Schizosaccharomyces pombe: one gene and its partner. The gene in region 1 interacts genetically with each later gene. Each region holds a gene or a part of one and is shown in the gene's direction. Other genes may lie near its edges.

What was found. Genes that interact genetically often act in the same process or in processes that back each other up.
Region 2: mutations in oca2 (region 1) and get1 together harm fitness more than expected from each alone (negative genetic interaction), as found in Schizosaccharomyces pombe (2 studies listed by BioGRID).

Annotation. Positions count from the first base shown.
Region 1 is NC_003421.2:756,563-766,384, reverse strand, and holds oca2 (serine/threonine protein kinase Oca2), read left to right. Parts: upstream 1-3,760; 5' UTR 3,761-5,531; coding exon 5,532-7,484; 3' UTR 7,485-8,017; downstream 8,018-9,822. Other genes in the region: heterotrimeric G protein beta subunit Gnr1 , read left to right, coding at 1-215; protein Emc6, read right to left, coding at 8,524-8,534, 8,624-8,879, 8,961-9,020. UniProt on the Schizosaccharomyces pombe protein: Overexpression causes cell cycle arrest.
Region 2 is NC_003423.3:4,315,010-4,321,913, forward strand, and holds get1 (GET complex subunit Get1), read left to right. Parts: upstream 1-3,899; 5' UTR 3,900-3,937; coding exon 3,938-4,024; intron 4,025-4,072; coding exon 4,073-4,439; exon of another isoform or gene 4,440-4,532; coding exon 4,533-4,594; 3' UTR 4,595-5,110; downstream 5,111-6,904. Other genes in the region: fit1 (CoA pyrophosphatase (FIT) family lipid storage protein), read left to right, coding at 1-231; m-AAA protease Yta12, read left to right, coding at 1,279-3,600; SPOM_SPBC16C6.01C (lysine methyltransferase), read right to left, coding at 5,111-6,532.

The DNA of each region.
Region 1 (9,822 bases):
ACAAGGATCTTGTGGAAGAAACGCATGTGACGGGAAATTACGATTTGACGGTAAACACAGTACAAGCGAACCCTATAAACATGCAGATAAAGTGTGTATGTTATGGAAATAGAATTTACAAGTATGAGAAGGATGAAAGTGAAGAAGAGGATGAAAGTAAAGAGAAGGATCTTTGGACAGGAACGGTTTCGGCTTTACAGGTTTGGATGGATTGAAAAAGCAAAATTTGGAATGAATGAATACTTGAAAAAATAAAAAATGGTGAGCTTGAAGGAAGAACTTTATGAGGATGATTTGATTATTAATAGAAAAACATTAGAAAACCGGTTCTAAATTGGTGTATTGGTGAATGGGTGTTTTTTTCGCAATCAGGAGGAGTCCTCAGACATGTTGAGGGGTTTCATTATTTAGATTATGATAAATTAAAAAATAAAAGAGATGAATTTTATGCAAATAGTTGATTATAAGAGCGCAACAATCTTTGTATTAATAAAACTACACATTCGCTTATTAAATAACCTTAAACTCGGTTATACATGGATTTCCAAGTGTCGCAAGTAGAGGAGAAATGGAGAAAATGGAAAGCAAAGAATGGATGAAAATTGTAAATCAGCAGTTTCGAACTTTTCAAAAATTTGTTAAAAATATTAATTTTTCAATTTAATTGAATTTTGTTTTACAAGGTGGATACTATGGAGGAAAAAACAAGATATGTATGGAAAAGGTAGCGATCGCAAAGGAAAAAAAATATTAGAAAAGGAAATGGAATGAAATTAATTGAACGAAATGAAAAGGACATGAAAATAAACAGAAGTATAGAACAAGAAAAAAAAAATTTTTTTTTAAAATAACATAAGGATGGAAGTGATCCGGAGTGAATAAATAGAGGGAAATGAAAAAAATAAATAAATAAAAAATAAATAATAAAATAAAAAATATTTATATACACATACATATAGATTGGAAAAAGATGAAAGAAAAAAAATGAACCAACCAATCTATCAATAAGTAAATCAATTAATCAATAAATATATAAAAATAAAAATTCTAAAACCAAGAAAAAAAAAAGAAAAAGAAAAAAGATTGAAATCTTATAAACAAATCCTTCTACGCTGCATACAAACACGTTACCACAGTCTGGAGTACTGTTGGAGAGTGAACCGAGACAGCCGCGGGGCGGTCCTTCGGCGAAACCAACGAGACGTTAAATATTTGCGATAATATTGTATAGTGCAAGTATGATAAAGACCGGTAACAAAAGTATAGCGGAAATTGAAAACCAAGTGCAAAATCTTCCAACGAGCAAAAGGTGTTACCCAAGCACGTCAGATGCATCAACCGAAGCAAAAATGTTTAAACGCAGATGAAAAGCTTATTGGAAGAAAAGTAAATTTAAGGCCAACGATTGGAGGAAGGAAAAAGTTTGATGGGGCAGATCCATTATGTTACACCTTGACTTTGTCGGCAATCAAGTCAAGTCAAGTGCCGAGGGCGCGCCAAGGTGGGTAAAGAAAGAGACAAGAGCAATACCGTGACGATCGGAAAAACCATTACCGAGAAATAAGGAAGGCCGGTAAATGGAATGAAACGTGGAGCGGCCAAAGGAAGAGAGAGAGAGAGAGTAGGAAAGAGTGAGCGAAGAAGGTGTCTGTCTGTAATAAGAGGAAGAAAAAGATGAGATGAAAGATGGATAGAGAGAGAATTGTAAGACATTGATAGAAACATTGATGGATTGGAAAAGAAAAAGAAGAAAAATCAAAAAGATGTTGGCAATTGTTTTGAATTCTAGTCAAAGAGTGAATGTTATATGTTTTTATGCTTAAAAAACAAAAAAACCATTCGAATGTAAGAAATGGTTTGAAGCAATATAGCCAGCGAATAAAAAATAAAAAATAAAAAATAAAAGGAAAAACCGTTCGATTCAAAGCAAAGTACAAACAAAGCCACAAAAGGATCTTACTAATAACGAATGCTACAAAAAACTAGACCAACTAACTAAACAAGTAGCAAAGGGATATAAAGAGGTACAGCGAAGTCACTGAAAAGATGAAGATAACGAGATATACAGATGTCATTAAAAGAGTGGTATAACGAAATATAGTGATATCACAAACCCACAGAATTTTAGGGCTGGTAAGAAAAGTAAAGAGAAGAAAAACAAAACAAAAGAATAAAAAAAACAAAAAAACAAACAAAAGGAAAGGCTGATGTGCATATAGTCTCAAAAGTCAATCGAGTTTAGTTTTACTTTTTCATGAGCATCTAGCATTTGCTCTTGTTTTGTGTTCGGCCGTCTGACTGTTTGGATGAGGAAGAAGAAAATTTTGTAGGGCGGCCGTGAAAGAAAAGGAAACAAAGGAAAAATTAAAAGAAAATAAATAAAATCGAATTAAATTAAATTAAATTAAATTAAATTAAACGAAATAAAATAAAATAAAATAATAATAAAAATAAAAATAAAATAAAATTGTAATTGTAATTGTAATTGCATTTGCTTTTGCTTTTGCTCTAGAAATGCTCCAATGTCTTTCCCTCGTACTAGTGTCATTGTCAGGATGCTGGATGGGCGAGATGACAAACGAGGAATAGTGTGTGCAATAAACAGGAGAGAGAAAGGCAAGTGAGAAGCAACAAGAGTTGAATCAAACTGAATTGAATTGAACCAAATTATTATTCTTCTTATAATCAAATTATTATTCCTCTTTAATCAAATCACTATTCCTCTTTAATCAAATCACTATTCCTCTTTAATTAAATTCCCATTCCTCTTGCTTACTGCCGCTCTTTTTTTCCCCCTCCCCTTGTTTAGATTTGGGTTGCTGAAATTTTCTTTTCTTTTTTTCATCCTCCTCCTCCTCCTCCTCCTTACTTTATTTTGTGTTTAACTTTTTTTCCCTTCTTTCCTTCAACTTTAATAAACCCGATCATTCCTTCCGATTGATCCTCTGCCAAATTTCCACCAAACGGTCGGATCCAAATTCAATGGAAAAGGAAGCGACTGGCGGTCGCACGAAGCAATGACCATGGCAGATGGATGAAATGATAACATCAACGGAATTAATTTCCTGACAAATGATGATACAAAGTATTGAATGAAACATGTCAATCATCATTTACTTATCTACATTTCCCACACTCTAGTGAATTTCATACTTTAGCTAATTTCAACACTTTAGCTCTAGCTACTCTTCCACCTCTTTAATTTTTTCTTTAGCTCTCTCCATCTCTCTATCTCTTATAACAATCTCTTTTTTTATACGTTATTCATCTTTAACCTCTCCCTTTCATCCCATCTCAATTCCTCCTTCGACTCTCAATCGCCCCCCATCTACCTTCTTTCGCTCTCCTTCTCCCCAACGAGGTCGCGTTCCTCTTCGCTATTCCCCTCTACTCCCCTCTCTCGCCCCACACACCGCCTGTCTCGCTCACTCAACTCCCTTTCGCCCTCCCCCACGTCATCCCCCCTGCTTGCTAGCGTTTAGCCTTTCGTTCTTCCTCTCAGCGTTTAGCGCGGTGCAACGGATTGTGGAGTCGCTCGCCGGAGGTAACACGTTGTAGCCGAACTAAAAGTGACATCATACTTCGGCACTTGCATGGGTGGGATTCCCGGAGATCGTGTGGATTTGCTAGCTCCTCCATCCAATGCGACTCGGCAGTTGATGTAGAGCGGCCATTCGAGATTACATGGGAGATGCTGTAGTAGACTGCGTGTTTCGTATACATATATTATATACACCTGCCGTGCACCGCAATACTTTTTGCCTTTTCCCATCCACTTTTTTTCATAGTATTGTTGAGAGCCACATTGATTGATTCCTTTTTATCAAGGAATTGAACCTGTTTCTCGTCGTCTTTTTTTTTTTTTTTTAAACTAGCAAATAAAAAAATTCATTGTAAGATTTGAATTATACTAAAAAGCTCTACTTCACTCCCCCGTCAGTCATAGTCCAACAACTTTGACTCAACAAAGCAAAAGCAAAAGCAAATCAAACCATACGATACGATACGAAAAACGAAAGTTTTTTTTGTCCATTGCATTGCTTTGATTCCCTTTGGTCTATCTGCCTTTGATTTCTTTTCTGGGTAAAACAGGAATTGAAAGAATTTTGAGAAAGTAAACGAAAAAATAAAGATTGAATAAAGCATAAAGATCTTATTTCCCATCAAAACATTGTTGTTATTGTTGTGATTTCTTCTGAAAAACAACAAATCAATTTCCAACTTTTCTATTCATTTACGCTTTTTTCCAATTCCCTTAATTTTCCATCCATCCATCCATCCTCATTGAGTCGAATTCTTTCTACTCAATTTGCCATTCGTCCCTTCACCCTTCCTATTCCACTCCCTTCTTTCCGGCTTCTTCCGTTTCGTTATTTGGTGTGATCGGTATCCCGAAAGTGAGTGAGTGAGTGAATTGTGTGATTCTCTTTCCCCCTTGGTATTCTTCCTTCAATCAACATTCTTTCGAATTCCCTTTTTGGGTTGATTTGTTCTTTGTTGTTGTTTTTTTTGTTTTGTTTTGTTTTTACGTACGTTCTATTTTCTATGAATACATAGAATTTCCTGTTTCGTAATCTCAATTCATTTCTCATTTTTCATACTTTATTTGAACCCAAGGTTTTCACACTTTTTCTTTATCTTCTCTTTTTTTTTATTTCCTTTGTGTGCTTTTCTTAAAGCCTCTTTTTTTTCCTCTTTGTGTGTCGTGATCGATCGGATCGTCTCGTCGGCTCACTTTACCTTGAATTTCTCCCTTTGGAAAATATCTACTGATATACCTATAAAAAGGTTCCCCATTCCCAATTAATTCCAGTATTGTTTTTTTTCCCTCTTCCTTATTTCCTTTTTTTTTTGTTCTTGAAATCTCTCATTCCTTTGTCGTTGCGCCAAAGAATTTTCCATAAACAATAACCAATTCGTTGTTGTCAGCGCTCGATTTCCCATCAAAAAAAAGTTATCTTCTTAGGAAATACTTATTTCTTTTCTCTCTTCAACCCTTTTCTTACTTGGAATTTATTTATTTATATATTTATTTATTCATTCTTCCCTTGTCATCCGTTGTTTTAAAAAAAACTCGCTTGACATTTCCTCAATTTCCCATCTCGTCTGACAGTATCTCCGTTACAAACTAATATCTGTCAAAAATCTTTGATTTTTCTCTACTTTCTCTTTGACGTGTTTGTTTATTTCTTGTGTTCCCATTCACTCCGTCTTGAGATTGCCTCTTTGAATCGTACTTTCTTACGCAATTGTTTTGTGTCGTACTTGAAAACTTGTATTGTTAAATAGTTTAACAACTACATTCCTTTGAGTTCATTCAAGTTTCTCTTTTGTATTTTCCTTGTTGTATTCTGAAGTTTTCTGTCTTTTTTCTTCCCTGTTTTTTACCTTTTTACCAAACCTTCCACTTGTTGTTTGGTTCATTGTAAAACACTTTTTTCTCTAATCTTACCGGTGGTTTGCTCTTCAGTGAACTAGAATATTTCTTTTGTTTCTTTATTTTACAATTGCACATGATTGCCGTTACGAACATGTCTGTCACCCCTCCCAATGTACAGTTTAACCTTAATGGGGATAGCGATCATAAATCAGACAATTCCAGTTCCTCACTGGAAAATAAACTTGACACTGAATTAAAAATAACGAGTCCTCCTCGTAACCCTCCTCAGCGTTTGCATCCTGTCGACTTTTCTGAGCACGCTGATACGGACGATGATATGAATCATCCTCTTCCCAGAGTTCAATCCCCCGTCCATATAAAGAATCACATTGACCCTAAACTTGCCGAGGATCGTTATCGTTCATCTGCTGCACGTCACTTCGAACCTATTTCCATTCCCCCTTCCGCTATCACCTCTGAGGATGAAGATGATTATCATGGCTCTGCTAATTCTTCTACCGTCCTTCCCCCTCGTACTGAAAATGCTTTACATGCTGCTAGTCCTAAACCTTCAGGTTCGACTGGTTACACCTCTCCTGCTCTTTCACAAAACAGCGGCAGTGGTGGTGAAGGCGAATCTGATGAAGGCTCTTTTAACACTCAGCATCATCGCTCCCCCATTTTTCAGGCATACCCTTCTTCAGAAGACCTTGTCGGCGATCCCAACGATCCTTATCGACGCACCCGCCGTGCTCCTATTAAGACAAATCCACATGATATCCCTTCACAGTTCATTTTCAGAAAGTTGGGTCTTCATCATGGAAAGCATGGTCATCATGGACACTCTGGTAGTTTATCGTTGAAATCTCTTGTTCCTAATCATCATGACAAGCATGATAAGCATGACAAGCACGAAAAACATCATAGTTCTTTAGATCTTCGTCGCTTTTTCAAATCCCATCAAAAGACAGACAAGGAGAAAAAGCCATCTGTTTCCAAGTCAAAATCTTCCGCTAACCTCCAAGATGATCATTTCGGTCTTTTCAAAAAATACGGAAAATTTGGAAGAATGCTTGGCTCTGGTGCAGGCGGTTCTGTCCGTATTATGAAGCGATCTTCTGATGGTAAAATTTTCGCCGTCAAAGAATTCCGTGCAAGAAGGCCTACTGAAACCGAGCGTGAATATGCCAGAAAGGTTACTGCTGAGTTTTGTATTGGTAGTGCTTTGCACCATACCAATATTATTGAGACCCTTGATATTGTTGAGGAAAATAAAAAATTCTATGAAGTTATGGAATATGCTCCATACGATATGTTTTCCATCGTAATGAGTGGTAAGATGACAATGCCTGAAGTTTATTGTTGTTTCAAACAACTTCTCTCAGGTGTTGCCTATTTACATTCGATGGGTTTGGCGCATCGAGACTTGAAACTCGATAATTTGGTTGTGGATAGTAATTGCTTTGTTAAAATCATTGATTTTGGTAGCGCTGTCGTTTTCAAATACCCCTTTGAAGCCGATATCGTTGAGGCCACTGGTGTTGTCGGTTCGGATCCATACCTTGCACCAGAAACCTTGGTCCGGAAACTATATGATCCTCGTGCAGTGGATATCTGGTCCTCCGCCATTATTTTCTGTTGTATGGCTCTTCGCCGCTTTCCTTGGAAATATCCCAAGCTTTCAGACAATTCTTTCCGTTTGTTTTGTATGAAACAGCCTTCAAATGATGCTGAGTCTCCCAGTGATATACTTGCTGACATAAAAAAACAGCGCTTAGTCGAGCAAGGATGCGAACCTATTAGAAAAACCGATGAATCACATAGTCCAAACTCTAAAACTGATAACTCTTCAACTCATAAACAAGAGTTGTATGGACCCTGGAGACTTTTGCGCCTACTACCAAGAGAAACTCGTGCTGTTATAGCTCATATGTTGGAGTTGGATCCTGTTAAGCGTTACGACATTCACAGGGTCTTTGCAGACAATTGGATTAATGATATTTCGATGTGCCATATGGAAAATGGTAAAGTTATTCATTCTCCAACACATGTCCATAATTTGGTGGCTTCAGAAGAGTCACCTGCTCCACCTGCAAAGCATTAAAAACTTATATTGTCTTTCCCACGTTTGTTTACAAAGTCGCCTTGGATATTGGTGATCTGTTAAACGATACCAAAAAATGAATAATGTGGTGGCTTGTTAATGAGCTAATCTCTTAATCGTTGACGGTGTAACTTAGTTTTCTTTTCAGACTTTTTTTATGTTAAAAAATACTTTATTCTTTGATTATTAGGGACATTTCAATTTCTTACTATAATCTCCTCTATTTAATAGTCAGTCCCTTTTTTATCAGCTCAACTTTATGATTGTTGGTGATTTTTTTTTTCTTTCTTTGGTTATTATATTATTATTATTGTCTTTGTGAGGTTAGCTTGTTTATGAGTTATTTATATGGTAAATAGGGGAAATCTACTGTGGTAGATTAAAAATATCTCTACAATTTTGAAAATAAATGTAAAATTGTCGCATCTTTGAATTTGGTTTTCATTTTTTAGTAAGTTTAGATAATACAATACAATTCATTAGTCTCAAAATTTTCAAAGATCGTGTTTGAATATGATATTTTGTCCTTTTCAACCGTTGTCAAAGTTGTTGCAAATATTGAATATATGCAGTGTTTACTTCAACTGTATAATAATGGTAAAACACGTGTTCAAAAAATAAATGCCTAGGCATCCATGTGCCCTGAAGCAGCTAGTTTTTAAGCACTAGAGACAATTTCTTAAAGAAGTAGAACATATCTCATGCAAAGTTTTCGAAATCAAATTTAAGGAAGACGACATGAATACAACGGAATGTGTGTGCTATGTTCTAGCATCGCTGACAGGACAAATATATTTTAAACAAATATCCTATTTTCTATAGGAAAAGTAAAGAAATGTAAAAAAACAGTTAGATTTGTGTTTTATTAGGAAATACAAAATATTTATAGGATGGGTTCACGAACAAAAGGAAGAGATCCACTTTTTTCTCAAACAATAGATCTTAATGAGGTATATGTGTTATTAACGAAAGGGCTGAACAAGAATAAGGAGGGTTCATCTTGGATTAATTGCCAAATGCATAAATCAAATTAAACACATTACTCATAAACTAATGACTTAGTTAGCGTGTAATTGTTTCAATGCGAGATCTGACTATTCAAACAAAATAAAATAGCAACGATCGAGCAAGTTTCTTACCATATACTAAACTGTAGAACAATGTCCAAGTTAAAACATAAGAAGGTGCGCCATCTAATATTTTAGCGATCCAAAACTTATATCCGGGCTGGTAATACTTAGTTAAGTTACCACGCATTTTCAATGCAAAGAGTAGAAAGGAGACGAAGAAGTAACCGAGTACATACAGAGCAAGCCCTTCATATGAAGTTAAACCCAAAATACCAGCTGCGCACCCGAAAAAACTAGAAGTCAAGTTTCGAACAAAAGAAACGACCTTTGGATTCATTAGCACTCAATTATAAAATCCTTAAAAAAACTAGTACCAAGAAAATCTAGCTCTGCAATCATTTCTTACCTGTTCATTATATGCAACATTTTCTACAACAATTGGAGCGACGCCTTTATCCCTTTCCATATTAGCTTATGAACAATTCTGATGTTTAGTTGAGTTCACCGCTTGTAGAATTATAACCAAAAAATGATGGATAACGCATCTTTATACTGCGGTATTAACTACATAAGGACTTAGTAGGAACGTAATTTTTTCGCAGCTTGACGTATCCTTAAAAGCATTTTGCAAACTGCGTAATTGCCAATCTTTCATGTAAAGCTACAAGCGATATGGATATGGGAAAAAGCATTACTTTTTGCTTGGGCTGAATGTTGGCTAGTTTGGAGGGTGAAATAGTTTATTCAATACAATTGAGTACTTTATTTTTTTCCATTTGATTTTTTTGAACAGAAATGGGCTAATTACTAGGATATTGGGAAATCGCATTGTTTAAAAGAGGTTCTCGTTTTACATCAAGGTCGATTTTTCATATTTATTTGTTTTAGAAAAAAGTATCATCTTATATTTCCTGTATTACTGGTTTTCTAATTCTAAAACTTGAAAATGGTGGATGAAACGTTACATACTAGATTGTTTACAGTATACCGAAAGGATTAGAGACTCGTGAACATTCGTAAAAGCGACATGCTTATACTTCCAAGAGAACGAAAAGCGAATTTCATTTCTTATTTACAATAGAATAGTTATTCTCATCATTCAGTCACGATCACTTTTTTCTTTACCAAAAATTGTATACCTAAATAGCACAGTATAATCCACCGCAAATTAACGTATCGTTAATATGTTTATGATCAAATACTATGTATTTGCATACCAACGCTGCGATACATTAAATAAAAACAAGCAGAAATATGAGAATTCAATA
Region 2 (6,904 bases), on another chromosome or scaffold:
GAAAACTTTTCATTTATTTTGAATAATGGAATAAAAGCTACATCTACTAAAGTACTTTTTGGTCTTCTTGGACTTTGGTGGTGGATGTTATTTGTTACTGCATCCTTTTACCATACTACTTTTGAAAAATGTACCGGGTTTTTCTCTGGTATTTTAGAATGGTCTATTGTTTACGTGTTCTCTTCAAGAATGCCAGCGGTCGCTGATCTTTTAGGATCCTCCGATTACTAGCCTTTACCACCATTTGTCCTTAAACTATGCTTCTAAATGATTGTTTTATATAGTGCAACACTTGTGACATAGCATATCCTTCCTTCTCTAAACTTATTTGTTTATGACCCTTTTATCTCTCTGTCGATTATTACGATAGTGCCATCATGATAAAAAAAATCTTTTCATTATTTACCAAAACTAAGTATATTTTAGAGAGTATTTTACTTGGGAAAAATACTCGTCAATTGTTTTGAGTGAAAATGCGTTCTTCCATATATATTTGATAGCCGTAAAGTTTCTTCTTTATCAAGCTTGCATATTATAGTGACTATTATTTATTCCTTTTTTTTTTTTGATACAAATATGCATAAATGTTTTTTATTATGGTATCTAAGTTAGTAATGTAAATCAACTCGCTAATATTATCCATTCAGCAAATTATAATGTATTTTAATTTGTCAACAATATACTTGTAATACGTTTAGTAAATCTATAGTAATTAATAGAGACAATGCTAAGAAGTTGGTTGATTTCATTACGGTCGGTGCCCATAATAAATGACTAATGCTTCGGAAGGTTGTCACTACCCACAACACACAAGTCCAAGGCATCTATATTATCCTTCCTTTAGGCTATTTTTTGTTGACAGGATTAGTAACGGGTTTATTGAGCTGAAAAAAAAGTGACAACTGTGTTCTTATTCCTTTTAATTACCATTTTTGCTGACGTGAAACATTGGAATTTCTTCAATTTCATAACGCTTTTTGGAGGTTGCCCAAATCCATGTCCGGAGGTAATAATAAATTTTTATTTTAATACAACCTTATAACTTTTCGTCTCTATTCGTTTTGGTCTCAATTACTGAATTGAACGATTAATTACTGCTTTCTTGAATTTTTTAATTCTAGAATCCACCTTTACTCGTCATATACGAAGGATATTTTTCTTAAAACAATCATTTACGTTTATCTCTTTCGATATTGAGGGTTTTATATATTATACTTGCCCTTACACGCTCAATTCAAGTTATTGTACCCTGCGACTTATTTCCATATAATATTCCTTATGCGAAATCCCTTTTTGACGTTTAGGGCACCTACTAGGAAAACAGGAGATTACCTGGTTTCTAAATTCGTAAAGAAGGATAATTTTTCTTCTTTGCGTTTGGCAAGGGCTTATACTTTTTCTACACGTTCCACAGCTGTTTCACAATTTTCTCTTCTCTCACTTTCTCAGAGATCTTTTCAGTCCCTTAAAATAAATAAAGGAATACCGGAAAAACATAAAATCCCTCTCATTTCATCTAAACAATTTAGCGTAACCTCAAAAAGATCGCAAAATGGGTCTTCAGGATCCAATTCTGATGCTAATGGTAGGAAAAATGGCCAGAAAAATGATGATTCAAAAAAGAAGGGATTGAATGGCAATGATCCGAAAAAAGTTTTTGAAATAGCCTTAAATGGCAACACTATTTTAGGTGGAATTTTAGTTGCCTATATCCTTTACAATGTTCTCTCGCCTAATGCAAATATGCAAGAAATTACTTGGCAAGATTTTCGACAACAGTTTTTAGACAAGGGTTTAGTTGAACGGCTAGTTGTTGTTAACCGCAATATGGTTAGAGTTATTTTGAGAGGCGGTGTAGCTTCAGGTTCAGGGCAGTACTATTTTTCAATTGGTTCCATCGACTCTTTCGATCGAAAACTAGAGGATGCACAACGTCAACTGGGTATTCCACCTTCTGAATTTGTCCCTGTCGCTTATCATGACGAAGTCTCTGTTCTTGCTACTTTATTGTCTTTTGCTCCCACCTTACTGATCATTGGAAGTGTCATTTATTTATCGCGACGGGCTTCGGGTGCCGCAGGAGGTGGTCAAGGTGGCATTTTTGGAATTGGTAAGAGCCGAGCGAAGATGTTTAATCATGAAACTGATATCAAAATAAAATTTGCTGATGTCGCTGGCGTTGACGAGGCTAAAGAAGAGATTATGGAATTCGTCAAATTTTTAAAAAATCCCAAGTTTTATGAAAGGTTGGGGGCTAAAATTCCTCGTGGTGCCATTCTTTCTGGTCCTCCTGGTACCGGTAAAACTCTTCTTGCTAAAGCCACCGCTGGTGAAGCTAACGTCCCTTTTTTAAGTGTGTCAGGTTCTGAGTTTCTTGAAATGTTTGTTGGTGTTGGACCTTCCCGCGTAAGAGATCTTTTTGCTACTGCTCGCAAGAACGCTCCTTGTATTATTTTCATAGATGAAATTGATGCAATTGGTAAAGCAAGAGGACGTGGAGGACAATTTGGTTCCAATGATGAACGCGAAAGCACTCTTAATCAGCTATTAGTTGAAATGGACGGTTTTACGTCTAGCGAACATATCGTCGTATTCGCTGGTACTAATCGACCAGACGTATTGGACCCGGCACTTCTACGTCCTGGTCGATTCGATCGTCAAATTACGATTGATCGTCCTGATATTGGCGGTCGTGAACAAATATTTAAGGTCCACCTTAAGCATATTAAGGCAGCCGATAACATCGACTTAATTGCCAAGCGTCTTGCCGTCCTAACTTCTGGTTTTACAGGAGCTGATATAATGAATGTATGTAATGAAGGAGCGTTAATTGCAGCACGATCAAATAGTAATGAAGTCCAAATGGTACATTTTGAGCAAGCTATTGAAAGAGTCACGGCAGGTTTGGAAAAGAAGAGTAGGGTACTAAGTCCTGAAGAAAAAAACACCGTTGCTCATCATGAAGCTGGACATGCGGTAGCTGGTTGGTTTATGGAGTACGTCGATCCACTATTGAAGGTCTCAATCATTCCTAGAGCTCAAGCCCTTGGCTATGCTAGTTATTTACCCAAAGATCAGTATCTGATGAGTCGAGGGCAGATTTTAGATCAAATGGGAATGGCTTTGGCTGGGCGTGTTTCTGAAGAAATATTTTTTGGACCAGAAAAGATTACTTCGGGAGCTTCCGATGATTTTCAAAAAGTAACGCGCATGGCTCAAGCGTATGTGACCCAATATGGTATGTCTCCGACTGTTGGTACTATAGCTTATCCCATCGACACTCGGGAAACTGTTCAAAAACCATTTTCTGAGGCTACAGCTCAAATGATTGATGAAGAAATTCGAAAGCTTGTAAAGCATGCATACGAAAGAACTAAGAAACTTTTGCTAGAACATAAGCAAGGCTTAGAAAATATTGCTCAACGTCTATTACAGAAAGAAGTCATCACTTATAACGAAGTTGAGACGATTCTTGGACCAAGGCCATATGCATACAAACATTTAAATATTTCTGAACTTATGCGTCAGTCTGAGTATAAAAATGATCACGATCCTCGAAATCCACCAATCCCCCCATCTCCTCAACAACCTTCTGCCTAATTTGTCAATTTACTGAATTTAAATAAAGCGTTATGAATGAAAATAGTTACTTTCATGGATCTCATGATCAAAGTATTTGTCAATTGAATATCATATAGCTATTTTATCTATTTTTTCTATTTAATATTACAGAAGCTAGATAAATATACTTAACATCAATTCTTCTGAACTTTAAAAGGTTAATAGATTATTATTTTCTAACACAAAATAGCTAATATCGTAACAAACAAACTTGTGTTTAGTTTCGACCTTTAGACCAGCATGTCATAGGGAGCGTGATACTCAACAGTTACACGTTTGACACTAACCACTGTACTTTCTTACAAGTCCATATTTTATGATGGATCTGATTATTTCAACAATTTTATTAAGCTTATTTATTCATTTCTTCGATAAATTTGCAAAAAAAAGGACTATTGATGGGGTAATTTAACATATATACTTGTTGTAAAGAAAACTAATAATGTGAAAGGCTTATCGAATTTACGTTAGTGTTTCTAATAATAAAGATTTAAAGAAGAACAAAGAAATTTTAGAGCAGCTGCTTACTGTTAAGAAAGAGCTAAACGCTACTAGCAGTCAAGATCAGTTTGCTAAATGGGCCCGTCTGAATAGAAAGTATGAACAACTCAGTCAAGAGTGGGAAAAACAATCAGCCAATGTTAAAATTTTCCAAGATACTTTCAAGCGGGTTTTAAGCCTTTTTCTTTGGATTTTAACCCGTGGATTCCGGTTTTATATTCAATTCAAAGAGTCCAAAACACCTGTCTTTTTCCTCCCTGCATTCTTGCTTCCTTCTTGGGCTCTATGGGTGCTATCTCTTCCACGATCAATCTACGGTATGTTGTTTTTAATGAAAATTCTGAAAATCTTTTTTTTATTTTTATTTTCATTTATCACAATGGCAGCTGAAATACTAACATGGCATGTAGGATCGGTTAGCTTAACAGTTTGGAATTTTGCGGTTCAAAAAACTATTTCCGGGATATTTTGATCTCCAAATCATCAAAGACGGTGACTAATTTTAATATTTTATCATTTAGTTTAATTAACTAAAGGGAAAAAGATGCCATATGTATTTTCAGTAAAGTCATTTTATAAATGCGTTTTCTACTTCCTTTTCTCATAAGAAAGAATGCCATGGAAAGCATAGTTTACCATGCACGATTAATATTATGTTATTCCTTCACAAATTGTACACTTTATGTGCTCTACACTGGTTTTCATCTAAATTGTCATCGGATTTCTTATTTCTATGCCTACTAATTCATTTGCTTAATTTGACGCTTTCATATTTCTGATGCTGTTTATACCGAAAGTTTGAAATGGCAAATAGGTTATTTATTACACAGGACATCTAGAAAGGGAACGATGCAGGGTTTTGGAAAACATCATAAAGTTACTACAATGTTAATTAAGAAGGGCACAAAATTATGATTAAAATTTAAGCTGAACTTCGATCTTACCTTTTCCTTTTATGCAACATTTCCAACCGTTGTATGTTGTTTTTTTAATCTTCAAAATTTTCAGTACAAAGATAAATTGTTTCTTGCATTGATTTTTCGAGTAAATTAAGTTCATGATAAAAAATTTGTAAGACTAAACGAGACCTATTCTCTCGTTTAAGAGTCGGATCGCACAATAGAGTCTTATAAGCTTCAGCAGTCAACCCACCATTTTTGAAACGACTAATGCGCTTTTGACACAGCATCTGTAGAAATTCTATAGCCTTACAATAAAAAGAAAAACCAGAGAGTTGAGCAACAACCTTTTCTTTTTCTCCCTCCTTATGTGCTATAAACACAGCCCAGATTTCATTAAAATACTTTGTAAGCATTACTATATTCATATCGCACTTTTGGAATTTGATTTTGTAAATGCAAAAAAATAAATATAAGTAAAGCCCGTAACTGGGACCATGATCTGTTATTATATAAAGATCCATAGGTTGTCTTATCATTACTGAACGTAAAGTCTCAGACTTGTCATTTGCGTATGTAGTTGGGGTGACCAGCAACTCCTGGGTGTTGATTATTCTTTTTTTATGAATCCACTCCATATAAAAATTTCTGTTAGTTTCATAAGCAATCATTGTCATGTCGACGCGCCAAACTTTGCAAGCGGTATCAATAAATCCATACTGCGTGAACAATTCATCAGCGGCAAAGTTTCCGAAGGAGTTGAATATTTCGGACATCTTTCGTATATACTGAAAAGAAATAAATTCTATTTTGATATCGCCTTTATGATCATTTGACTCCTGACAATGTAGCGAAGCAATAGCTGGACCAGACTTGTGATTAAAAATATCGAAAAAGGGTATTAAAGATAAACCGTAGTAGCTGTTAACGTAAAAACACCTGCTTTGGACGAGAACACAAGTCTCTAAATACTGATTCCATTTTGGACAAAGCTGTTTGAGATCAGCATGTTTATAAAAGTAAGGGCGGACCAATTGATCATATTGATTTTTGTATACTCTTAAATTTGTATTTATTACATCAAGCATTGAGGTTCCCTCAAGACACGTTTTATCTTTCCATAATAATGGGGAATCAGGCATACAAGTTTCGTCCAAGGTGTTTAAATAAGCGTTCCACGGACTATCTGTTATATTTTCCAATATTACAGTTATAACGAGCATGACCAGCCCAACCTGATCTCTATTGTCAAAGTTAATATCATCAGACCGATTAGATTCATTAAAATGTGTATACAACGAATCTCCAAATCTTGAGTTGCGAGGACTCAGAATGATCCTTCTAGGAATCTTTGCTAAAACTTCAAGTTCATCTATATCAAAGGTAGAAAATATACCATCTCCTGCGACCCCACTTGAAGCGATATACAGTTTGGGTGAAATGTAAGCTTCGTGTTTTGCTAGCCATTCAAGTAAGGGTTGGTACTTCAAAAATTGCTTGGAATTGTTCATGCTTTATTTAACATGTTTTAATAAGTAGTTAATAATATTTTTTATGCGCTTTCCGGCAATTTTGAACATTTGAAAGTTAATATCTTTTCAAAGCAAATTTGATTTTAAGCGTAGGTAAATACTCCAACCTTCTGATGTACACATTGATTTTTTGAGTAAAACTTGAACGTATCTTAGAACAGAAGATAATTAATTTCTCAAATTATGTTTAATAAAGCACATTAGTCTGTTCAAACTTGATTTTTAATCCGCTACGCGTTTTCAACCTGTCCGATACAGAAGGGCAATGCAGGATGGATCGTAAATATAAAAACTACTATAAGAATATGATTGAATACGATTGAAAAGGGGTAATAAACAAACGCTTTAAAT